Linked DNA regions of Canis lupus familiaris. The protein of the gene in region 1 interacts with the protein of each later gene in a pairwise test. Links are inferred from orthologs where the notes say so. Each region holds a gene or a part of one and is shown in the gene's direction. Other genes may lie near its edges. The genes, in order: REL, CDKN2C, ACOT8, HDAC7, IL36RN, MAGOHB and EXOSC1.

Evidence for each region.
Region 2: the proteins of REL (region 1) and CDKN2C interact in binary tests that used the Homo sapiens proteins (3 or more experiments, as listed by UniProt). The two-hybrid records come from large-scale screens. The link is inferred for Canis lupus familiaris from reciprocal best matches to the Homo sapiens genes REL and CDKN2C.
Region 3: the proteins of REL (region 1) and ACOT8 interact in binary tests that used the Homo sapiens proteins (3 or more experiments, as listed by UniProt). The two-hybrid records come from large-scale screens. The link is inferred for Canis lupus familiaris from reciprocal best matches to the Homo sapiens genes REL and ACOT8.
Region 4: the proteins of REL (region 1) and HDAC7 interact in binary tests that used the Homo sapiens proteins (3 or more experiments, as listed by UniProt). The two-hybrid records come from large-scale screens. The link is inferred for Canis lupus familiaris from reciprocal best matches to the Homo sapiens genes REL and HDAC7.
Region 5: the proteins of REL (region 1) and IL36RN interact in binary tests that used the Homo sapiens proteins (3 or more experiments, as listed by UniProt). The two-hybrid records come from large-scale screens. The link is inferred for Canis lupus familiaris from reciprocal best matches to the Homo sapiens genes REL and IL36RN.
Region 6: the proteins of REL (region 1) and MAGOHB interact in binary tests that used the Homo sapiens proteins (3 or more experiments, as listed by UniProt). The two-hybrid records come from large-scale screens. The link is inferred for Canis lupus familiaris from reciprocal best matches to the Homo sapiens genes REL and MAGOHB.
Region 7: the proteins of REL (region 1) and EXOSC1 interact in binary tests that used the Homo sapiens proteins (3 or more experiments, as listed by UniProt). The two-hybrid records come from large-scale screens. The link is inferred for Canis lupus familiaris from reciprocal best matches to the Homo sapiens genes REL and EXOSC1.

The regions. Positions count from the first base shown.
Region 1 is NC_049231.1:62,305,008-62,308,507, forward strand, and holds part of REL (proto-oncogene c-Rel), read left to right. Parts: intron 1-344; coding exon 345-485; intron 486-1,791; coding exon 1,792-1,896; intron 1,897-2,465; coding exon 2,466-2,678; intron 2,679-3,238; coding exon 3,239-3,307; intron 3,308-3,424; coding exon 3,425-3,496; intron 3,497-3,500. UniProt on the Homo sapiens protein: Proto-oncogene that may play a role in differentiation and lymphopoiesis.
Region 2 is NC_049236.1:10,264,364-10,268,536, reverse strand, and holds the start of CDKN2C (cyclin-dependent kinase 4 inhibitor C), read left to right. Parts: upstream 1-1,373; 5' UTR 1,374-1,543; intron 1,544-1,994; 5' UTR 1,995-2,005; coding exon 2,006-2,134; intron 2,135-4,173. UniProt on the Homo sapiens protein: Interacts strongly with CDK6, weakly with CDK4. Inhibits cell growth and proliferation with a correlated dependence on endogenous retinoblastoma protein RB.
Region 3 is NC_049245.1:33,783,335-33,787,268, reverse strand, and holds the start of ACOT8 (acyl-coenzyme A thioesterase 8), read left to right. Parts: upstream 1-1,134; 5' UTR 1,135-1,241; coding exon 1,242-1,360; intron 1,361-2,646; coding exon 2,647-2,783; intron 2,784-3,934. Other genes in the region: ZSWIM3 (zinc finger SWIM domain-containing protein 3), read right to left, coding at 577-731. UniProt on the Homo sapiens protein: Catalyzes the hydrolysis of acyl-CoAs into free fatty acids and coenzyme A (CoASH), regulating their respective intracellular levels. Displays no strong substrate specificity with respect to the carboxylic acid moiety of Acyl-CoAs.
Region 4 is NC_049248.1:39,626,314-39,629,813, reverse strand, and holds the end of HDAC7 (histone deacetylase 7), read left to right. Parts: coding exon 1-27; intron 28-263; coding exon 264-348; intron 349-1,759; coding exon 1,760-1,898; intron 1,899-2,056; coding exon 2,057-2,102; 3' UTR 2,103-3,237; downstream 3,238-3,500. UniProt on the Homo sapiens protein: Responsible for the deacetylation of lysine residues on the N-terminal part of the core histones (H2A, H2B, H3 and H4).
Region 5 is NC_049238.1:37,370,110-37,373,167, forward strand, and holds the end of IL36RN (interleukin-36 receptor antagonist protein), read left to right. Parts: intron 1-17; coding exon 18-145; intron 146-339; coding exon 340-564; 3' UTR 565-2,558; downstream 2,559-3,058. UniProt on the Homo sapiens protein: Inhibits the activity of interleukin-36 (IL36A,IL36B and IL36G) by binding to receptor IL1RL2 and preventing its association with the coreceptor IL1RAP for signaling.
Region 6 is NC_049248.1:11,014,357-11,016,908, reverse strand, and holds part of MAGOHB (protein mago nashi homolog 2), read left to right. Parts: coding exon 1-3; intron 4-721; coding exon 722-832; intron 833-2,552. UniProt on the Homo sapiens protein: Required for pre-mRNA splicing as component of the spliceosome. Plays a redundant role with MAGOH in the exon junction complex and in the nonsense-mediated decay (NMD) pathway.
Region 7 is NC_049249.1:10,916,542-10,920,041, reverse strand, and holds part of EXOSC1 (exosome complex component CSL4), read left to right. Parts: intron 1-1,133; coding exon 1,134-1,222; intron 1,223-3,165; coding exon 3,166-3,199; coding exon of another isoform or gene 3,200-3,206; intron 3,207-3,500. UniProt on the Homo sapiens protein: Non-catalytic component of the RNA exosome complex which has 3'->5' exoribonuclease activity and participates in a multitude of cellular RNA processing and degradation events.

The DNA.
Region 1 (3,500 bases):
TCTCATACAGATTTATACTCTCCCTATTCTCTGTTGTGTATAACCTGCAACCCTTTTTGTAAAAATTTGGTTGGTTATTAATATCATTTTGGCATTCTGCTCTAAATTTCAGATGACTTAGGATAGTTACTTCCTGACCATGCACATAACTTAATGAATCCTGTGACTACATGATGATCCTGATAAAAGGCATTCTTGCGATTTTATACTCTTCTATTTTGTTAGTACAGATTGGATGCTACTTAGGGTTATTGGAAATGTTGGGCAGGGAGGAGGACCTAGCAGGGTTTTAGTTCTATGTGACTATTTTACATTCTTTAAAAAAAAAAAAATGTACTATTTAGTCCCTGAACAACAGCTGCTGGATATTGAAGATTGCGACCTCAACGTGGTGAGATTATGTTTTCAAGTTTTCCTCCCTGATGAACATGGTAATTTGACAACGGCTCTACCTCCTGTTGTCTCTAACCCGATTTATGACAACCGTAAGTACTTTATTTTATTGTATTTGTATTGTATTGTATTTATATGTTTTTTAGTTTAATTTTTTAAAGTATTTTGGCAATTAGAGAAAGTTTGTTCATTATAAGAACAATTCAAGCATTACTGAAATAACAAGAAGACTAGATCTTCTCTGATCTCCTCCTCCAAAGATAATCTATATCCTCAGGTACATATTTCACCAGTTTCTTCATATATAAAAACACATTATCACTATCCTTGATACAATATACTTTTAGCAACTTAAATCATCACAGATCCTTTGGAAAAAAATTTTTTCTCTTAGCAATGGATCTTGAGCCTTTTCCCTTTGAGGTACCTTGTTCCCTTCAGTAGCTGCATATTTCCTTATATGGCTGTATCATCATCTTATTAAACCAAACAAGGTATTTGGTTTGTTTCCTTCTTGATTTTTTCTCTAATAAATTGTATTTCAGTAAATATCCTGTATATGCATATTTTGTGCATATGTGTCTCTAGCATAATTTTACAGTAGTATGAATGTTGGCAAATCCTGGATCAAAGGATAGGGATATTTATAGTTTTAAAAGATTATGAAATTGCCCTGAAAGTTTTTGTGCACACGTGTACATATTTGCTCTTATATATGCATCCATTCCTGGTATATGATGGCCTATTTTGCATCTAGAAGCACATAGGCCTATAATGGTAGATCAGGGTATCCTTCTCACGGAGAATTTTGAATTGCCAGGGAGAGTTACTGAAATTATATTCCTAATAAAAGGGAGCGTGAAATCACCTTGTTATAGGGTTATAGTCATGATTTAAGAGATTAATCTGGTGACAGTGTATGGATGGATTGAAAGGATGAGAATTTAGGAACAAGGAAATTTAACTAGTGGACCTATTATTGCTGAGAAATGAAGTCACAAGGCTATAGACCAGGGTGGGCTTGTCGTCAGAAAGGAAAAGGACAGGTGTGAATGATTAATGTACTTAATGTCCTTAATTTCTTTATACACTAAAGCTTTTATCTGTCCTATAAATTGTTTCCCTAGAATTCTCACCATCAAAAAAGAATAAAAATGGGACCCCTGGGTGGCTCAGCAGTTTAGCGCCTGCCTTCGGCCAAGGGCATGATCCTGGAGTCCCAGGATCAAATTCCACATCGGGCTCCCTGCATGGAGCCTGCTCCTCCCTCTGCCTATGTCTCTGCCTCTCTCTCTCTCTCTCTGTGTCTCATGAATAAATAAATAGAATCTTTTTTTTAAAAAAAGAATAAAAAATATTACTAAGACAGAAACTCATTAAAAAATCCTTTTTATTTAGGTGCTCCTAATACTGCAGAATTAAGGATTTGTCGTGTAAACAAGAACTGTGGAAGTGTCCGAGGTGGTGATGAAATATTTCTACTATGTGATAAAGTTCAGAAAGGTATTTATTTATTTGTTTCATTGAATTTAGAATATGCAGATCTTCTTTGGCTTACAGTGGGGCTATACCATGATAAATTCACTGTAAATTGAAAATAATCTTAAATTGAAAATGCAGTTAATACACGTAACCTACCAAACGTCGTAGTTCAGCTTAGTGTACCTCAAACATGCCCAGAAAACACATTAGCCTATAGTTGGGCAAAATGACCTAACACAAAGCCTACTTATAATAAAGTATTGACTATCTCATGTAATTTATTGAAAACTGTACTGAAAGTGAAAATCAGAACAGTTGTGAGTATATCAGTGGTTTACCGTCCTGATCATGTAGCTGACGTGGCTTGCTGCCACTGCCCAGCATCTTCCGAATGTCATGCTGCCTATCACTAATCCAGGAAAAGATCAAAATCTGAAGTACGGTTTCTACTGACTGCATATCACTTTCACACCATCATAAAGTCAAAAAATTGTCAAGTTGAACCATCATCAGCTGGGAGCCATCTGTATTTTAGATTAATAGATGGATTTTGTTTTCCATTGCTGTTCCTTTGCTTTTATATTCATTAGATGACATAGAAGTTCGGTTCGTGTTGAATGATTGGGAAGCAAAAGGTATATTTTCGCAAGCTGATGTACACCGTCAAGTAGCCATTGTTTTTAAGACTCCACCATATTGCAGAGCTATAACAGAACCAGTGACAGTAAAAATGCAGTTGCGGAGACCTTCTGACCAGGAAGTTAGTGAATCAATGGATTTTAGATATCTGCCAGATGAAAAAGGTATGAGTTCTTGGTGGTAAGGTTTTATGTATTTCTTAAAGTTCTCCTAATACCATTTTCTTGTAAGATACGTTTGCATACTGTTAGGTTTATTTATAGTTCACGTTTTATTTCCAGAAAATTTTTCGGTGATTTTTTTTTTTTAACCTATTGATATTTATGCTCTTTGTATTCCTGTCTTTGGAAAGGAATCTAGAATAATTTCAGAGTATCTGAACTGTTTACCAAAATTTATTTTATATTTGAGGTTCTATTTTTGTCCTTATTGTGCCCTTTTTATAGATGGAAAGCTTGCCATTCAGAATGGTCTCCATTTTGGTTTCGTCCTTACCTGCCCTTATTGCGTTAGTTGACATTGTTAACTTATAGGTGTTATGAGAAAACAAGATGAGTATTAGACCCTTTACTACCTACTTGGGACACATTCTGCAACACTTAATAAATCCAAAGCATATACATTTGTTTAAAGCACTTTATGGGAATAAAACACCTGTTTTTTAAAGGAGAAGCCACATAAACCTATGATGATCTACATGTTTTCCTCGTTTCTTTTTAACCAGATACTTATGGCAATAAAGCAAAGAAACAAAAAACAACTCTACTTTTCCAGAAACTGTGGCAAGATTGTGGTAAGAGTATTTGATTTGTATTTAAATAGATTTTGGGTTTTTTGCTTTATTCAATTTTCCAAATTTTAGCTGATGTTTTTTTAAATTGCATTTAATAATGGAAAAACTTTATCACAGCAGTTAATTTTCCTGAAAGACCTAGACCTGGTACCCTAGTATCAACTGGAGAAGGAAGATTCATCAAAAAAGGTAT
Region 2 (4,173 bases), on another chromosome or scaffold:
AGGTCTGGAGTCGCCGACTGCATCCCGCCAGCCGGCCTCAGGGAGGCCAAGCCCGGCTCGGCCGGGCAGAACGCCGCTCCAGCGGGGCCGGCGGGGCGGGGGGAGCGGGGCGGGGAGCGGGGCGGGGGAAGCGGGGAGCGGGGCGGGGGAAGCGGGGAGCGGGGAGCGGGAGCCGGGAGCCGGGAGCGGGGCGGGGAGCGCGAGGGCGGGAGGAAGGGCACGGGCGGGCGGCGGGGAGCGGGGCAGCGGGAGGAAGGGCGCGGGCGCGGGCGCGGGCGCGGGCGGGGCGGGGGCGGGGCCAGCGAGCCGCGAGCGCGAGCGCCTCCCGGGCAGGGGGCGGGGCGTGGGCGGCGCCCGGCCTCCCGCTCCCGCGGCGCTGCAACTCGGCCGAGCCTCCTTAAAACTCTGCCGTTAAAATGGGGGCGGGTTTTTCAACTCAAAAAGCGCTCAATTTTTTTCTTTTCAAAAAAAGCTGATGAGGTCGGAAAAAAGAGAGAAGAAACCGGCACCGTCTCCGCAGCGGCAACAGAAGCAGCAATTGTTTGAGCGAAAAAAGAAGCCAAGGCGGGTGGGAAGGAAAAGAGCTGAAAAGAGGACAACGCGCAAGTTGTCTGCAGGGGTGAAGAGAGCGGGGCCCGGCGATCTGGGGGACCAGCTACAAAAGAAACTGTCAGCGGGAGCGCTGCGGCTGCGGAGGGAGCGGCGGTGCCCGGCTCGGCCGCGGGCACAGTTCGCTGGCGGCCGCGCCCCGTCGGCGGCACGGGCCGGGGGCACGGGCCGGGGGCACAGGCCGTGGGCGGCCGGAGGGCGGCGGGGCGGCGGCGGGGCCGGAGCCGCGGGGCTGTCGCCGACGGGCGGGCAGGACCCGCTGCTCTCGGGCGTTGCGGCGGCCCCCGGTCCCCGGACCTTGGCCTGCGCTTCCCCGGCCGCTCCCGACCTCCGGAGGTCCCCCGAAACCCGCGGAAGGAAGGAAGAGCCGGCGGCGGCGGTTCGAGGAGAGGCTGCGGTGGGAAGTCTGGACCGGCTCGGTCGTAGGCGGGAAGCCAGCGGCGCGCCGCCCCAGCAGCCCGGGCCGCGTAGACGGGGCCCGCACGGCCGCCCCGCGCCCCCTTCCTCGCGCCGCCGGGGGTCCCGGGACCCGCGGGGGCCGGCATGAGCGACCTGCCCGGGGCCCGCCGCGCGCCCGGCCGTCCTCGGAGGCGCGCTCGCAGCCCGGCGCCCGCGGCCCGGGAGGCTCGGCGAGGCTGCGGCGGCGCGGCAGGCGGGCCGCGGAGCCCTCCCGCGCGGCGTTAGCCGGCGGGGCCGCCCGGAGCGAGTCGGGGCTCCCCCGAGCAGCCGAGGCCACACAGGAGCGTTGGGACCTAGAGCTTGAGGGCCACGAACTGCCAGCGGCGTCTGCCTCCGCGCCGGCCTCCCCGCCGCGGGCGCCCTCCCCGCCGCGGGCGCAGCACGACCCTTCGGCACACGGATGGAGACCGGGCCCTGCGAGGACCTGCCCCCGCGGTTCTGGCTCGCGCGGCTCCAGCCACCGCCGTGAGCACGGGTGGGTTAATGCCTCCTCTCCCCCGAACCCCTCCTGCCGCGGCGCTCTACGCCCTGGTCTAGCCGCCGAGGTCCCCGCACGCAGGACTCGCGGAGACCTGTATGTAGATACGTGACAGCTCTGCCAGCATTTTACGTCCAGAGCAATTTGCCGGCAATGTATAGACGTCTGTGTGTCTTTCTGTTGAGTCACCAGAATTCTTCACAGGGGTTAAGCTAAAGAGCGAGGAGCGGAGCCCCTCTCCAATGGCTCAGTTTTGCTGAATAATCACGTGTGAACCGAGGGGCGGGCTTTTGGCAGGCAGATCTTACTAGTATTTACTACCAAGCTCTACTCCAGATTAACCATCCCAGTCCTTCTGTCAGTCTCCGATGCCATCATGCAGCCTGGTTAGGAGCAAAAGGAAAGGGGAAAAAGAAAAACAACTAATTCATCTTTTCCCGATCGTCAGGACCCTAAAGAATGGCCGAGCCTTGGGGGAACGAGTTGGCGTCTGCAGCTGCCAGGGGGGACCTAGAGCAACTTACTAGTTTGTTGCAAAATAATGTAAACGTCAATGCACAAAATGGATTTGGAAGGACTGCGCTGCAGGTTGGTATCCAGAGAGGTGGGGAAAACAGGTCAACAATGTTGCCTACGTGACCCGGGTTTCTGGAATAACGGCTTTTAAGCTTTCAGGGGTACAGAATTTCACTGTTTTTTAAGCCTACTTGGTTGCCATATTTTATATCTTTAAGTGGATCCGAGTCCCCAAAAATGACGTACTTTGAACAAACTCGTCGAATTCAATGACATCCTCGATATCAGATGGGTTCCAGGTTTGGTCTTAATTTTTGGAATGTTTTTGTGACGGTGGGGATTTAAAAGTAGTCGAAGCAGCGCCGAGGTGTGTGTGTGTGTGTCTGTGTGTGTGTGTGTTTTAAGACAGCTCTGTAAACACATTATTATAGTTATTATTTGAAGTAAATACTCTGCTATTAGTGGTTTCCGTGCTTTGCTCCAATAATTGGCTTTAACGTTAATTTTCTTGACTCCTGGCGAGGGTGTTTTTCCTTCAAATGCTTCAAGTTTTGACAAACGACCTTTCCTCGTTTGGAATAGGTGGCCTGGGCACAGGGACAGGATGTACATTTCACAGTTAATGCAATACCATCCACCCGTTCGGGATTGAGGAGGAATAAAAAGTTGAATTTTCTAATCAGAGCTCAGTTTGTAGTATTTTTGTCTCTGAGGTCATGCGGTGGTATGTTCTAATTTTCAGTAATTAGATTTACAAGCAAGAAATGAAACATGTCCAGCTGCCAAGTATTGTACCTGATAATTTTTTTCCTCCTCTGAATGTTAATTATCATGTAACTTAGTTGAAAGGCTTAGAAACAGAAAAATGGCAAAGTAGTCTCAAATAGTTGCTTTATCAAAGTTCTAATAGTGTTCTTATAAACCGTTCTTATTCGGAAATGCAACACTTGAAGCTGTTTTTGAAAATTCATTGGGGAGAAGGTTTTAGAATGCTTTGTTTTACTTACAAGAATTAGACTTAAAAGTAGCAGGAGATACGCTATTAACAGACGAAGTTCAGTCTGTACATTTTTAAATCAGAACATACCGGCCTTGCAAAAATTTCAGTATTAAGGAAATTTATGCATAAATACTAAATTATTTAATCTTGTTATTTCACGTAGATTCTATGGGATAAGGAATTTTTTTCTTTGTCCACCTAGTAGTTTTTAATAGCTTTGATGATGATAACAATGCTACAAATTTGATATATTGAAAAGTTTCCTATTGAAAATCCAAAGATTATATAAATTTGACTAAGAATGAGCAATTTAACCCATGTTCAGAATAAGATCTTACAGGACTTTTGATGAACAGGAAGACTGACAAAAAGTTTTGATATTTTTAATACAACTTTGCAATCTTGTTTATATTAAGCACACTTATCAATATACTAATACCCATTTATTGTGGCTTAACCCTAATTTATATAATGAAACATACACAAACAGGAGTCTCAAGGTTTATTTTCAGTATGTATAATCCTGACTCTGAAGTTGTGTCATAACTCAAGAAAGAACTTTCTTTCAAAACAATTTCCAGTATTACTATTATTTTCTGTGAAAGGCGAATTTTCTTCTATAATTATGTTCATTTAACCTGGTTGCAAAAGCTTTTCCCCCCTTCCTAGTGTAAGCTTTTCAATCAGGATAATGTGAAAGGCCTTAATCGCGCATTTGCTCTACAAAGATCCAAGGTGTCTGTCCCTTATTTTTCCCGGTCTAGATCTTTAAATGTGACTAAATCTTTAGAGATAGTTGTGGCAAAAATTAGATTGTGTTCGTTTTTAACTAATAAATATATTTTATTGAAATTCTCAAAAAATAAATTATGTATCATTTTTACCATTGCTCCAAAGGCAAGGCTAGGTCAGCAGGGTTTTATCAACAGGGAAGCTTAATACCTTGGCCATCTATATAGTTTGCATTCATAAAATATTATTCATTCTAAATATATTTTATTACTTAATTTGTGATTATTTTTTAAATAAACAATTTAAAGTGACAGATCAACTTTGTAGGAATTTTTCAGTGGATTATATTTGATTTCACAAACATTTGAGTGTCTACTAT
Region 3 (3,934 bases), on another chromosome or scaffold:
CTCCGCCTGTTTTCTCAGCTGCCAAAAGGGAAAAACAGCATTTAACTATAATTCTCAATACAGCCCTGCCTGGTAAAGCATGCACACAACAGCGAAGGATGCCTGGGGCATGGGAAGTGTTTGAAAAAACGGTTGTTAATCTCAGAAGCTCGAGAACCACGTAGAAAACAAACGAATGAATGAGCAAACTAACCAACAACTGACCGCGTTCATTGCTTTGTCAAGAGAACACTGATGGAGGAAATCATCCCAGAGGCGTTTTGTATCCATTTGTGAAGACGGTACTTTGTACGAGGGATACTGCAGGTGCTCAAAGAATGGGGCAAATTGCAGTTATTTCAGGAAAGCTATAATGGAGTGAATGAATGAAGGGGGAGTGGGTGGTCAAAAAGCGATGCCTTGGGAATGTTTTGCTCTTTCCACCAGGCACAGGACAAGTGCTCGGTGCCTGTTGATTGCCCTGAGACCGGGGCCCAGCTGCGCTCCCTCCTCCTCCTCCTCCAAGGCCTCCCTCCAGGGGACAGTCCGGCCTCCTCCCCACCCTCCTGCCCCGCCCCAGACCTGCCCCGCCCTTACAGGATGTCCTCGCGGATGCAGGTGCCATGGTTGAGGTTGTGGAAGCGGACGGAGACGCAGTCCCTGAGAATGAAGGAGCACCTGTTCTCCTTTTTGTAGGCGCTGAAGCACTCCTTGAAATCCTCGTAGGTCTTGAAGCAGCTGCCCAGCTCCATGGCCGCCCCCTCAGCCCACACCAGGGGCTGGCCCCCGGATCAACACTAGGGTTCAGAGGTCACACTGTGAGGGCCTACAGGCTGGCGCATGTCCAGGATGCCTTAAGGGTCGGCCTCAGCTGAGTGGCCTGTTACGGGGCTCAGGAGGAGCCCTAAGGGCCGAGAGGGCTTAGGGGTCTGGGGGCGTCTTTGCTTTCTCACAGAGGGGAAATGACGCTCAGCTCTTATTATTCAGCCCTGGGTTCCGCCCCCTCACAGTTACATCCAATCACACACGGTATTCCCAGACTGGCACTCATTTTCTCCAATCGCTAGAGAAAGCTAGCCCGCCTCTCGCGAAGACTGACAGGAGGGCCGACCAATCATAACTTGGACCCCTCTTTCTTGGGCGGGGGGGCCTTGAGGCGATTTCCTGTTACTGGAGCAAGCTGCCGGAAGAAGGTCGGCGTTCAGTGCGGGTGTCCTCGTGTCCGCTCAGCGCGGTGTTCTGGCTGGCCGCGCGTGAACCCCATGGCGTCCCGGCAGGCTCCCGAGGATGAGCAGGGCGGCGGCGATCCCTCCGGGGACCTCCGCAGCGTCCTGGTTACCAGCGTGCTCAACCTCGAGCCGCTAGACGTGGATCTGTTCAGGTAGCCGGCTGCATCTGGCTCGCACCCCTCCCCCCGCCACCCCCCACATTGGGACAGAGACTTCCGACCTCGATGCCGCCACCGCGTTGCCTCCTGCTCATAGCCCCCCGGACGGGGATGGGCTCTGTGCAGGATGCAGGCTCTGCCGCGCCTGGGAGAGAACTGGTCCCTGACAGACCTGGCTGGTCTCGCTGCCCTAGCTTCCTCCGGTGCGCGCCAGGTCTGCTCAGCCCCGCCACTAGGAGGCCCTAGCCATCCGGGCAGACGAAGTGGTGGCTTGAGCTAGCCTTCACAGCAGGCTCTCTGGAGGAGTCCTGTCCCTAGGGGCCAGCCCAGAAAGGGTGGTCACTTAAATGCACGCAGCTGATCCGGTTGAAAATTTAGAAGCAGCTTCTTGCATATTCACTGTTCTTTCCTTTTACGTACCTCGCACCTTCCACCACTTGGATCTAGTACCTCATTGCCCTGAGATCTGAGCCAGTTTCCTTCCAGATACCACTTAAATGCTTTTCTGCAGCTAGGGATTTAATAGTTTTGGCCGTCAGGGTTCCTACTGGCTTTTCAGAGGCAATCTTAAATGTTAGAGTTTCACTTCCCCCTACTTAATGAATTGCAAATGACTAGGAGGGGCTACTTGGAAGGCATTATATTTTTTTTTTAAATGCTAACCTAGGTTGGAGCTGAGCTGGCCTCAGTGGTAGGAAGCTGGAGTTCCAGGGCCTCATTTCCTCATCTGTGCGCGAGAGGGTTACCCTTAAAGCCTGAGGACCCTTTGAGTTCTAGGACCCTTTGTAGTTCTTGGAAGAACTGGGCTAAAGTTGAGAGGCCCAAGTGGCAGGCCTGAACGCAGTCTGCCCGCAGCTCTTGGGGATCATCTTGGTCCCCTTATGGCCTTGAGAGGCTTCTGCTTTATCCTGGAATCGGCAGTGAAAGAAACACTGGACTTGGGGGCAGAAGACGCAGACACTGCTCAGGACTGGCAATGTTTAAGTTGACTGACCTCACTCAAGTCACTTTCCCTCTCTGATCCCTGTTCTCTTTGGGTAAAAGAAGAGAGCTGGTTCCTTATCTTTAACTGAAGCCCACAGAAGGGTTGGGCAGTCTTGAAGGCACTAAAGTTACATGTATGCTGTATGCAGAGTAAGGGTATTTGCCTGGGAGAAGGGTCCATGGCTTTCACCAGATTTCAGAAGGATCCCAGACGTCAATAAGGTTGAGAGGTCTTGCCCTATAGGATGGTTGCAGGATTTGGCCCAAGTATTTCCTGCTTTCCCCTCTCTCCACAGAGGAAGACATTACTGGGTACCCACAACCCAGCGGCTGTTTGGGGGTCAGATTGTGGGCCAGGCCCTGGTGGCTGCAGCCAAGTCTGTGAGTGAAGACGTCCATGTGCACTCTCTGCACTGTTACTTTGTACGGACAGGTAAACTATCCCCTCTTTATACCCAAACCCAACCCTGAGGGCCCAGCAGCCACTTGTTCCTGGACTTGGGGGGCTGATGGGCTGGAAGAGGGAGGAAGGGCGGTGGGGGAGGGGAGAGTGAGACAGTTGATTCCCCTCAGGGGAACCTAGAGAGGAGCAAGGTCTGGGGCCCAGAGGAGTGTTGGACTTCACACGGATGAGATCACTGAGTGCTTGTTGAGGAAATGTTGGCGGCAGAGCAAATGATCAAGAAAGAATTCTTGAGATGTGTTTGGTGTAAAAAGATGATTTTGTTTGTTTTTATTTTTATTGTTTCTTAAAAAAGATTTTATTTATTCATTCATGAGACACACAGAGAGAGAGAGAGGCAGAGACATAGGCAGAGGGAGAAGCAGGCCCCTTGCGGGGAATCTGATGTGGGACTAGATCCCAGGACCCCGGGATCACAACCTGAGCCAAAGGCAGATGCTCAACCACTGAGCCACCCAGGTGTCCCTGTCTGTTTGTTTTTAAAGATTTATTTATTTTTAGAAAGAAAGAGTGGGGGGAGGAGAGCAGGAGGGAGAGGGAGAATCTCAAGCAGACTTCCTGCTGAGCATCCTGAGATCATGATCTGAGCCAAAATCAAGAGTCGGATGCTTAACTAACTGAGCCACCCAGGCTTCCCTAAGAAGGTGGTCTTACTAGAGCACGAGAACAGGACTTCTGGGCAGAAAAGGCTGTACTGGGATTGTGACAAATGACTATATACTTTCAAGTTGGATGGGGGTTAGGGACAGCACAAGTTTCCAAGGTATTTTAGAAGTCAGGTTTCCAGGACCTTGAGGGGGCTAGTTATTGTTAGGAAAAGGTCATTTATTCCTGTCTTAAAAAGCCTGAGTCATGAGACCCTTCAGATGTGTATTGGTGGGCCATATGCTTGGGTGATTGCCAACATGCAGCATGCCAATATGGTAGAGATAAAGGAAGTTTCCAAAGGAATTTCTACGTGTCTAAAGAAGACTTCCAGGATCCTACAGGGTCAGGGTAATGTTAAACTAAGATTGCCTCTTGCCCTTAGCAAAGTACTCACCTGGAGGCAGCTGAGTCTCTAGAGATCACTCTACCTGTTTCAAGGACTTGTCAATGGGTTTAAGTAGTAAGGAAATTAA
Region 4 (3,500 bases), on another chromosome or scaffold:
TGTGTGGCTGCTCTTCTGGGCAACAAGGTAAGCTGCCCCCCAGCCCCCGCATCTGTGCATCTGTAGGGCAGGGGTGGCAGGCCTAGAACGAGGGGGACCAACGGGGTGCCCCTTTCCCAGGTCAGATCTAGGATCCGGGTTTCCAGCCTTAGGCAGAGCCAGGAGCACATGAGTATTTGTGCCTGGAAAGCCAGGGCCCTTGGCGGTGGGAGAGAGCTGGGCCTGTGCGTCCCTACGGGCTGATAGGCTGTTTTCTATTGTAGGTGGATCCCCTCTCAGAAGAGGGCTGGAAACAGAAACCCAACCTCAACGCCATCCGCTCTTTGGAAGCCGTGATCCGGGTGCACAGTGAGTACAGAGAGAGGGCACCCACTGACCCCAGACTTGGGAGAACCTCCAGGGGCTACTGCCCTCAGTAACCCGGGCCCCATGGCCTCCAGTGCCCACCAGGCGGGGGGCTCCACTGCTGTGCAGCAGTGGGCTTCCTCTGAATCACCCCCACAGTAATGGCGGGACTTCCTCCCTCTCCATGTTGGGTACTCCTGGAGCCCTCCGGGTGGATCCAGTGAGGACCATCAGTCCATCAGGGGGGACCCCCTGCCTCCTCAAGGCAGGACCGGCCTCCCATCCCCAACCTCAGCCCTAGGCCAGGGCCAGGCTGGAGCAATAGACCTTTTGCCAAAAGCGCTGGATCCTAGTTTGACCCTCAGTCCTGTCCATGGGGATCTTGAGAGCTTTGCCTGCTTTGGGGGCTTAGAATAACCCTACATTTGGGGGTGCCTGGGTGGCTTCATCGGTTCAGCATTCAACTCTTGATTTTGGCCCAGGTCTGGCCTCAGGGTCATGAGTTGAAGCCTTGCATTGGGCTCTGTGCCCAGTGTGGAGTCCACTTAAAAATAAATAAATAACCCTACATATGGAAAGCATTTTGAATTTTCACCTTTAACCTCCATGGAGCACTTAATGTAAAGACCCACGTTCACTGCTAGGGATGCAAAAACGAATGAAGTCGATTTCCCCACATCCAGGGCCAGTAGGGGAAGTGTGCATAACAATAAAGATGCTCCACTTTGCGTGGAGTCTTCACCCTGGGACCAGGCTCTGGGCTGGGCATGTCCTGTGGACGTTATGTGCCTACAACAGTAGGCAGGATGGTCATGTCCATGGCTAGCGGGGGTGGTGGAAGCCCAGGGCGGGTAGGTGACTTGCTGGTGGCTCCACAGAGCAGCCGTGGTGGCAGTCAGCTCTGTGCCATGTCCCTCCCACGTCCCACACTGTCCTGTCCTATGTGTTGGGCTGAGCATCACGTGGGGGCTGTGCATGAGTGACACCCTGTGTTCCAGGAGGCTGGGGCTCGGGATCTGTGAGGTGGTCTGAGATAGACTCCATCTAGGGAAGAGTGAGCTCTACTGGTGCTCTTAGGGACCCCATGCTGTGGGAATGGGTCAGAGGTGGGCTCTCGCCCGCAGGCGTAGGAGAGTGGCTCGGGCACCTGCTGGGGCCTCTTCGTAGCCCCACCGGGTCTGGTCTGCTCACCCTGTCAGGGCTGCGGGGGGCCAAGTGAGGGAAAGTGTTATGTTGAGGGTAGAGGCAAGGGAGAGCGCTGACCCCAAACTGAGGATACGCCCATACGCCCACTGACGGGGGGCCCTTGGCCTTGAGAGGTCCAGCCTCGTATCATCAGTCTAGGATGCGCGGTGTGGCAGGGTGGAGGGGCTTGTTTCTCTAACCCTTTCTGACTCTCGGCTTCTTGGCCCAGGTAAATACTGGGGCTGCATGCAGCGCCTGGCTTCCTGTCCAGACTCCTGGGTGCCCAGGGTGCCAGGGGCCGACACAGAAGAAGTGGAGGCAGTGACCGCACTGGCATCCCTGTCCGTGGGCATCCTGGCTGAAGAGCGGTAATGCCCGGCCCCCGGCCCACACAGCCTCTCCACCCCTCGGACCCTCCCTACCTGATGACCCCAGATCCCAGCACGGCCACCCCAGCCTTCCCCGGCTTCCCGGCATGCAGCCCCCGGCCCTCCAGCATCCCCACCCTTGTGTCTCCCTCCTCCAGGCCCCCGGAACAGCTGGTGGAGGAGGAAGAGCCTATGAATCTCTAAGGCTTCACAACGGATTTGCCTGCCCACCCCTGCCCTTCGGACCTGGTTCTCCTCTAGCCTCTGGCAACAGTACCCAGTCCCCGGGTCTACAGAGGGCCTTCGGGCAGGTAGTTGGGGCCAGAGCACAGCCCCTTGCCAGTCACCCCAAGGAGCCTGAGCAGGGCCCTGCATCTAGGATAGGGACCAAAGAGGACCCGGGGAGGAGGCCAGCTGGGCAGCCAGCCCCACCTCAGTAGGGCTCTCTCAAGAACAGAGTCGACCCCTTTGGGGTCCAGGCCCCTGGCTGGGCCCCATCCCTCAGGACTGCACAGAGGAGGACTAGCTCGGTCGGGCCCACCGATAACCACTATTCTTCATGGCTCCGTAGACCCTGGGCTTTGCACACGGCCCCAGGCTCCACGCAGAAATGTGAACTTGGCCTCAGCCAGGGTGGCCCTCCCTAGGCTCTGAGGGCTGAGCTGGAGTATGGGGGCGGGGGGAGGGAGGGGGAAGTCAGGGAGTCCCTTACCCCTGAGTGCAGGGGCATCCCTCTTGCCTGCTTCCTCAGATGACTCTGGAAGCTTCCCCCCCCTGCCCACTCCCCCCCCCCACCCCCGCCACTGGGCAGGGAGACAAAGCTCCTTCCGAGAGAGCAGTGGTCGGCAGGCCTCCCATCGGGTCCCAGCCCCTGCCACAGGCCCCCCTCCATCAGCCATCTCAGTGCCCTGGCGGAGCCGACAGGTGCTCTGGGAGTTCCGTGCTTCCTGAGCCGATGGTGCCAAACTCTTCATCTCCCCTCAGCGGCACAGTGTGACCGCCAGGGGCCCCTCGGTCACCGCCCCCCTCCGTGAGCCCTCTCTCTTTCTGGGGTCTCCCTCACCCAGCTCTCACTCCTGCCCCACATAGGACTAGCCTGGCTGAGGGGAAAGGGGTGGGAGAGTGGATGCAAGACACAGGGGAGGGGAGGCTGCCCTGGCAAAGTCTTCAAGGCTTCTGGGGTCCTGGCCTGGGGCCAAGAAGGAAAGTGTTTGTGTGCGTGTGAGAGAGAGTGTGAGAGTGTGTGTGTGTGTGTGTGTGTGTGTGTGTGTGTGTCTTCCCCAGGACCACCATACCCTGTGTATGTATGCATGTTTTTGTAAAAAAGAAAAAAAAATAAGAAAAAAAAAAGGAAAAAAAATCTGAACAATAAATGTTTTATTTGCTTTAAAGATGCCTGTGAAAGGGCCTCTGGGGAGGAGGGGTGTTCGGTGGGTGAACAGCTGTACCTCGTGCGCACGCGTCTCGTTTACTGTGGGAAAGGGCCCAGCCCCCCTCCAGCCCCCCTTCCAGCTCCCCCCCTCCGTGGCAGCTCCCTTGCAGAAAGAATCCCTTCTGAACACACCCTGGCCGTCCCCACTTGCCCCACCTGGGGGTAATAGA
Region 5 (3,058 bases), on another chromosome or scaffold:
TGGCTCCCTTTCTCTAGGTGAGGAGATCAGTGTTGTCCCCAACCGGTCTCTGGATGCCAAGCTGTCTCCAGTCATCCTGGGCGTCCAGGGAGGAAGCCAGTGCCTGTCGTGTGGGACAGGGCAGGAACCAACTCTGAAACTAGAGGTGAGTCCTGTGGGGGCTTCCTTGCTATCTGACCTCATAAGCCAGCAGATCCTGAAGCCACTGGGCCATGCATCCTAGGGCCTGAGCTCCTCTCCCTCACAGGGTTCTGTGATTGCAGCCCTGCCTTTCCATGCCCCCAGCCCAGTTCTCCTGCCTCCTCCACTCCTTCCCCTCACCTGCCCCTCTGCTCACAGCCAGTAAACATCATGGAACTCTACCTTGGTGCCAAGGAATCCAAGAGCTTCACCTTCTACCGGCGGGACACGGGGCTCACCTCCAGCTTTGAGTCAGCTGCCTACCCAGGCTGGTTCCTCTGCACCGTGCCTGAAGCAGACCAGCCTCTCAGACTTACCCAGCTCTCAGAGGATGCCAGCTGGGACAACCCCATCACAGACTTCTACTTCCAGCAGTGTGACTAGGGCAATGCATCCCTCAGAACCTACCTGAGCAGAGGCAGCTCAGGCGGGGCAGAGGTGGAGGAGGACACTGATGGCAGCCACCCACCATCTGCTCTCAGGGCCTCACCTCTGGCTGGCACTCGGCCACTCTCCCTTTTGATTCCCAGTTTAGGTAAATCCTTCTGAGATTTGGGGCTTTGTCCACATTTTCTTTCCCTGTTGAGTGGTGCTACTTGTGTGGAATCTTGCAAAAACCACTCAAGATGAATTGGAAATCACATAAAAAGGTTCCTAAGGGGTCAGGGTTGAGGGAATTGTGGAAATCCTTCATGCTTCATGGTAACTTACCCAGTAGTCCGGAGCCCCACAGACCAGTCCATCCCAAGTTGAGCCTATTAGGGCCACCAGCTGCTCACATGAAGTCCTGTCATCCACCAGTATGCAGAATAGGGAGGTCATAGAGTTAGAGACCCAAGGCCCAGCCCCATCCCTCTTCCTTACAACTCAGCTGCCATCATATTCTATCTTTTCCATATCCACCCTCGTGCTCTAGCCATGGCAGCAGAGGGTGGTGATGTCCGAGGAATGACTCCAGCTCAGAAGGCTGAAGAATGTCCAGGCATTACCTTTTGAAGCCTGAGGTACCATTAAAATCCAAGATACTGGTATCTATTCCCATGAAAAGTTGCTCGTGGCATTCTAAGTGAGAAGAGCAAATTACAAAGTAGCATATCTTGTAATTTCATTTTAATTTAAAAAATATCTATATGTGTCTGCATAGAAGTCTGAAAGAGTTTACTTCAATTTTAGCAATATCAATTTAGCAATTATAGGTGATTTTTCTTTTTGTTCTTTTATTTATTTGCATTTTCTAATTCTTCCATGATGAAGATGGACTCCTTGTGTAATAAATAAGTTAATCTTGGGGAAAACAGAGCAGACAATATTTGTGACCATCCTCGGCACTCCCTGAGTGAAATTCAAATTGAATTGAACTCTGCTGGTCAGCAGCAGCAAGAATCAGAACATAGATCTCCTCAAACCTGCAAAGAAAGAGAATATGATGAGTTAGCATGGTTGAAATCTCCTGGAGAAGGAATTTATAGAAAGAACAATTCTGGACCTAGAGTGGTCACAGCTCCCTAAGATTGCAAGGTGTGGGTTTCAGCCTCCAAAGGATCCTGTGCTGGTTGAAATTTATTTCCTTCTGGATACCTTAGACTGTGACCTTATTTGGAATTAGGTTCTTTGCAGATACAATTAGTCAAGAGGTCATGCTGTATTCGGGTAGGCTCTAAATCCAACATGACTGCATGTGCAAGAAGAGGAGAAGACACGTAGGCACACAGAGACCAGGAAGGCCATGTGAAGATGGAGGCAGAGATTGTACTTTCACTGCAATAAGGCAAGAAATGCCATGATTGAGGCAACTGCCAGAAGCTAGGAAGAGGCAAGGAAGAATTTTTTCCCAAAGCCTTCAGAGGGAGGATGGCCTTCTAGTCTCCTGAACTGTGAGAGAACAAATTTCTATTGTTTTGAATCACCAGCTGTGTGGTAATTGGTTGTGGTGGCCCTATGACATTAACACAGCCGTTGCTGATCCCATCTCACATCGTGTGTGTGTCTTTTCCCACATTGTACCCACATTTTCTCTGTGACCAACAGAATGTGGCAGAGGTAATATTATGCCACTTTTGAGATTAGATTACAAAAGACTCTGCAGCCTCTATCTTGTTTTCTCTCTTTGTTTACTTGCTCTGGGGAAGCCAGCTGCCATCTCCTAAGCAGCCCTAAAAAGAGACCCATGTGTTGAAAAATGAAGCCTCCTACCAACTGCCACATAAGTGCATTTGGAAGCAGCTTCCCCAGCCCCAGTCAGGCCTTCAGATGACACAACTCTGGCCAACAACTTGATTGCCACCTCAAGAGAAACTCTGAAGCAGAACCAACCAGCTAAGCGGGTCTAGATCCCCAACTCTCAGAAACTGAGAAAATAAATGTTTTTGCTTTCAGTTGCTAAGGTTTTTTTTTTAAGATTTATTCATCTTTTGAGAGAGAGAGAGAGAGAGTGAGAGCACAGGCACACATAAGTGGGGAGGGCAGAGGGAGATAGAGAATCTCAGGCAGACTCCCAGTGAGCATGGAGTCTGACACAAGGCTTGATCTCATAACCCTGAAATCATGACCTGAGCTGAAACCAAGAGTTGGACACTTAACTGACTGAGCCACTCAGACTCCTCAATTAAATTTTGGGGTCACTTGTTATACAGCAATGAGATAACTAATACAGAGGGAAAGAGAAAGAAATACATTTATTTTATTATGGTTACAATTTTCTCCAATATTTTCATTTCCCTTCTCAAAATTAACATCTGACCTTTTATTTCCCCAAACATTCTGTTTAAAAGTTGATCATACTAAATTTGTTGAATATTCTCTGTTCCTGCAAGATTTAGTTCCTCCTTGATTACCTTTGCAGTTCCAGTCTGACATGCCAAGGACTGTCACTCCAGCA
Region 6 (2,552 bases), on another chromosome or scaffold:
GAGGTAAGTTCTTTTTGAATGTCTAATTTTCTACATTTAGACCATTTTCTTCATGTCATTTTTGAATTTACAAAAATACACCTAAGGCTGTATTGCTGTAAAGAAGCCAATTTATAGGTTGAAAAGGGAGTCTTTAAATTAGATATAACGGTAGCATGTGTAACAGAAGAAGATGCAATCTGAGTATATTAAGTTGTAGTCCCACTTTTGAACATATAATTTCATTCATTTTATAATTAGTTATGTCTCCTTATCCCACTCCTTATTAAACTAATGGATAGTCAAGATTTAAACACAGTGAATTTTACATGAAAGGCTCAAAAGTTAGGGCTAAGTAAGAAAAAGTTCAGAGCAGTAACTGGGATATGTACTTGTATTTGTCTCTGTTCACCACAGATTTTCCAAATCACCATTAACCATTCAGATGTATTTGAGTTCCGTGTTACAAAGGCAGATCCAAAGTTTTAAAAAGGGGCTAGTGGAAGTTATTAATTTATTTATTTTAATTTAGTAACAGATATATATTAAAGGAAAGGGCAAGAGAGTTAATAAAGTTGTAAGATGAGTGATTCCCTCCCAACTTGTACTTTTGGAATCAGTATTAGATTTTCCTGTGATACTCTCTTTGAATATTTAGGTTTTGTAACTTTGTATTATCATTTCATCCTGAGTTGTGGGAAGAAATAGACATTGTGGAATTTTTATTGTAACTTGTTTTCAGGCTTATGTACACAAGAGTGTAATGGAAGAACTGAAGAGGATTATTGATGACAGTGAAATTACAAAAGAAGATGATGCATTGTGGCCTCCCCCTGACAGAGTTGGCCGACAGGTTTGTGTTCAGTGGTTCTTTAGGCATGGTAGTAGAAACTGGTAATATAAATGTTGTGTTTCTACTTATTTATTTAGAATAGATCCTCATTGATTCTTTGGTTTTCCATTTATTTAGTAGGCATCTGATCAATACTCTTTGATTTTATTTCACTTAGTCTCATTTTCTGTCCTACTTCTGAATAGTAAAGGAGTCAGTGCAGAGCTCTGAATTTAGACATCTTCCTGACGAGTCTTCTATGTAGCTTCACGAGTTAAAGTTATGATGTTTTCACACTGTTATGAATAATTGCTATTGTATATTAATTCTATTAAGAAAAAGTACAGTGTGAAATTCAAGACAAGATTCTTATTGACTATAAAATTCACTTTCTTCATTTTTATAACTTTGAGAACTCTTAGGCCCAAGAGAGGGATTTGATTGCGTCTTTGTGCAAACTGACTACCGCATTTGCCTCCTGTTGTTCCCTTTGGAGTAATTAATGTTTCTCAAAGGGCTTCTGGAGAAGTTTGTTTTTTTTTTTTTTCTTCTTTTTTTTTTTTTCTGGAGAAGTTTGAAGGCTTAATTTCCCTCTGTAGAAAGACAGTTTGATTGGGTCTTTTCAACTCTTGGAGAATTGAAATACAAATCCTGGAGGAAGAAACAGTTAATTTCATTTTTGTATATTCCTGAGGATTATACTTTATATCCCCTTCCTTGACTGGAAGAAAATATGGAGAAATCAAATGCTGATGTTCTGTGCAATCACTTAACTCTTCTATTTAAACAGGCATTTTTTAGGAAAGCAAAGGTCATAGTTAATAGTATTTATGTGACATATTGTAAACAGTTTTGAAAAGTAACTTTTTAAATCTTGGTTTCTTTCTTTCTTTTTTTTTTTTAATTTATTTATGATAGTCACAGAGAGAGAGAGAGAGAGGCAGAGACATAGGCAGAGGGAGAAGCAGGCTCCATGCACTGGGAGCCCGATGTGGGATTCGATCCTGGGTCTCCAGGATCGCACCCTGGGCCAAAGGCAGGCGCCAAACCACTGCGCCACCCAGGGATCCCCTAAATCTTGGTTTCTTTTATGCAATAGGTACTTATGTACTAAAAAACAGACACCATAACAGCAAATCATTTATCTCTTTTAGACTCAGAGAGAACTCAGTATTTTCATCTACCCACTTGATGATGGGTTTATGTGTTTTGGTTAGTAGGGAGGGGTAGGCATGTTCCAGAAATCATTTATTGGATTTTTAAAAAATTAATTAATTTATTCATGAAAGACACAGAGAGAGGCAGAGATAGGCAGAGGGAGAAGCAGGCTCCCTGGGGGAACCTGATGTGGGACTTGATCGTAGGACCTTGGGGATCACAACCTGAGCCAAAGGCAGGCGCTCAACAACTGCTGAGCCACCCAGGTATCCCTATCAATTGGATCTTTAAGTCAAAGATTCTATGATAGTTTGAGAGCCTTAGTTAATTCTCCATTTTGTGCATGTCATAAACTGTGTATAATTAGGTTTCTTGGTCAAAACATAGCTAAAATGTTCTTTAATTTTACTTGATAAATCACTACACACATAGCCTCTTAATTATTGATTTTAGATTTGCAGATAAAATCTAGGGAAAAATTTATACAATAATTGGGGCACACTAAGAATGTCTGTAATATGTTACATTTGCTTTAGTAGGTATTAATTTTACATGCTTTGTGAAGTCAAACAACTATGAGTCT
Region 7 (3,500 bases), on another chromosome or scaffold:
GGTGGTGATCCTAGGATCCAGCCCTGCATCAGGCTCCCTGCTCAGCAGGGAGTCTGCTTTTCTGTCTCCCTCTGCCCCTTCTCTCCACTCATGCTGTGTCTCTTTCTTTCTCTCAAATAAATAAATAAAATCTTTTTTATTTATTTTTATTTTTATTTTTTTTAAATTTTTATTTATTTATGATAGTCACAGAGAGAGAGAGAGGCAGAGAGAGAAGCAGGCTCCATGCACCGGGAGCCCGACGTGGGATTCGATCCCGGGTCTCCAGGATTGCGCCCTGGGCCAAAGGCAGGCGCTTAACCGCTGCACCACCCAGGGATCCCAATAAAATCTTTTTTAAAAATAAATTTCATCATTTGGGGTGTTTCAGGGGAAATACAAATTAATGCTATACTGATCAGTAACTACAAGACATCCTTACTCTCTGCCCACCCCCATGTTAAGTTAAATCAACTTGAGTTCTTAGTTGCTGTTTATAAATTGTTCCAGCAGAAAATCAATGTGTTATTCTTAAAATAACTGAAGAGGCAGTGATCCAAATATTACACAGTAACTGAAATGTACACTTAAATTCTGTCCACTGGGGATCCCTGGGTGGTGCAGCGGTTTGGTGCCTGCCTTTGGCCCAGGGCGCGATCCTGGAGACCCCAGGATCAAATCCCACGTCGGGCTCCCGGTGCATGGAGCCTGCTTCTCCCTCTGCCTGTGTCTCTGCCTCTCTCTCTCTCTCTCTCTCTGTGTGTGACTGTCATAAATAAATAAAAAATTAAAAAAAAAAGAAATATAAACATTTAAAAAAATTTTTCTGTGCACTGTACCGGGCTCTTGGTAAGATCAGTTAAAGGTCTAGATTTACGGTAATGCCCTGTTTTTATTTGTTAGGCTTCTGTATTTTTCAAGATATATTCCATATTATTTCATTGGATGCCCACAGTAACTTTATTAGGTGGCTGGAGAGACTCTCATTCCATTTGACATATATCATTTATGCAGAATTAAGTAGGAGTTAACTTGTCTTAAATTCTATAATTAGTAGGATTGCTTGGACTAAAACACTGGTAATTCCTTTCTTGCTGCCTCCTTGAACTGACAACTGCTACTACTCTAATGCTGATCTTTTTTCTGTTCCACAGGTCTCTAGCATCAATTCACGCTTTGCCAAAGTGCACATCCTATATGTGGGGTCCACACCACTTAAGAACTCTTTTCGAGGAACTATCCGGTAAGAAGTATTCATGTTTTTGCATTTGCATCAGCACCTGGAATGAGATTAGAATAGAACAGGGATTGAAATTTTTAGGAACAATTACAGTTCCTATATCTACCTGCCTCTCTCTCCTCTTTGTTCTTTGATTCTGTCCAGGTAGTGTCCAAAGGAAATGTTATAATGTATGAGCTAGGACAAAAGGAAAATATTGACAAGATTGGGCTTTAAAATAAAATGAAAAGAATTGAGCTAAGCTGGAAACTAGTGTTGCAGGAAGTTCATATGGAACAAATTAGGGGCACCTGGGTAGCTCAGTGGTTGAGTGTCTGCCTTTGGCTCGGGTCGTGATCCCGGGGTCCTGGGATTGAGTCCTGCACCGGGCTCCCTGCAGGGAGTCTGCTGCTCCCTCTGCCAATGTCTCTGCCTCTTTCTGTATCTCTCATGAATAAATAAAATCTTTAAAAAAAAAAAAAGTTAAAGGCATCTTAAGAAATATCTTCCTTTTTTGTATTTAATATAGTTTAAATCTAAGGATTGAAAGACTTTATTTTTTTTTTTTAATTTTATTTATTTATGATGGGGGGCGGAGAGAGAGAGAGAGAGAGAGGCAGAGACATAGGCAGAGAGAGAAGCAGGCTCCATGCACCGGGAGCCCGACGTGGGACTCGATCCCGGGTCTCCAGGATCGCGCCCTGGGCCAAAGGCAGGCGCCAAACCGCTGCGCCACCCAGGGATCCCGAAAGACTTTATTTTTATTTTTTTTTATTTTTTTAATTTTTATTTATTTATGATAGTCACACAGAGAGAGAGAGAGGCAGAGACATAGGCAGAGGGAGAAGCAGGCTCCATGCACCGGGAGCCTGACGTGGGATTCGATCCCGGGTCTCCAGGATCGCGCCCTGGGCCAAAGGCAGGCACCAAACCGCTGCGCCACCCAGGGATCCCCCGAAAGACTTTAAAAAGGTAAAAAGGTTAGTGGGTGGGCAGCCCCGGTGGCGCAGCGGTTTAGCGCCGCCTGCAGCCCAGGGCGTGATCCTGGAGACCCTGGATCAAGTCCCACGTCAGGCTCTCTGCATGGAGCCTGCTTCTCCCTCTGACTGAGTCTCTGCCTCTCTCTCTCTCTGTCTCTATGAATGAATAAATAAATAAAATCTTAAAAAAAAAAAAAAAAAAAGGTTAGTGGGTGAGGGGCACCTGTCTGGCTCAGTCAGTAAAGCATGTAAGTCTTGATCTCGGTGTTTTGAGTTCAGGCCCCATGTTGGGCATAGAGATTACTTAAAAATAGAATCTTAGAGGTGCCTGAGTGGCTCAGTTGGTTGAGCGACCGACTTGTGATCTCAACTCAGATCGTGATCTCATAAGCTGTCGTCAGATCAAGCCTCGTGTCTGGCTCTGCAGTCAGTGAGGGGTCTGCTTGAGATTCTCTCCCTCTGTAAAATAGGGTGCACGCTCCCCCCCCCCACTCATGGCATATGCACTCTTTCTCTCTCTCTGTAAAATAAATAAATCTTAAAAAAATAAAATATATTTTTAAAAAGGTGAGTGGAATGGTAGGGTTTTGTTTGTTTTTTCCTGTAGGTTTTTAAAGTAGAGACCAACAATTCTTGTGAGCTAGATATAGCTTCTAAGGCTCTTTCCACCCTTAGGATTCCATGTTGGTTCTGTAGTGCTTCTGTACAAGCTTTCCTAAGGCAGCAAAGTTCCTTATTCTTTCCTGCCAAATCTGATCTGCTTTTCTCTAGTCAAAGGTATTGATACTGCTGCTCTGTGTGACCCAAGAATGGGAATGTGGTTTTCTCCTCCAGGGGAGGACTTGGAATGCTTCTCCACCCCACTTCTGGGTGGCCTTTGGGTCCCAATTATGATTTGTTCTCTCTATTCTTGTAGCTCTCTGTCTGCTATGATTCTGCAGGATAATTCTCACAGATAATTAATCTTTTGTTAATTCTTTTTTATAGCAAGGAAGATGTCCGAGCTACTGAAAAAGACAAGGTTGTTGGTTGGTTCTTTTTTTTTTTTCCCCTTATGACTTTAGGAATCTCGATCCTTTTAAATTACTCCAGGGAATTTCAAACATCTGTGGGAATGTGGATCCAAAGGTCCAAGGAATTTTAAGGTGTTTCCTACTGGAAAGTGTGGAATTCACCTCACTGTCCTTTTCCTTTCCTTAGGATTTTTTGTTTGCTCTATTGAGCAGAAGGGGACTACTTTATTCCTTGCCTTTGAAGCCAGGTGTCTATTCTTTGCTATTCCCTCAGATTTACTTTGTATTCTTTCAGAGCCAACTGTAGTA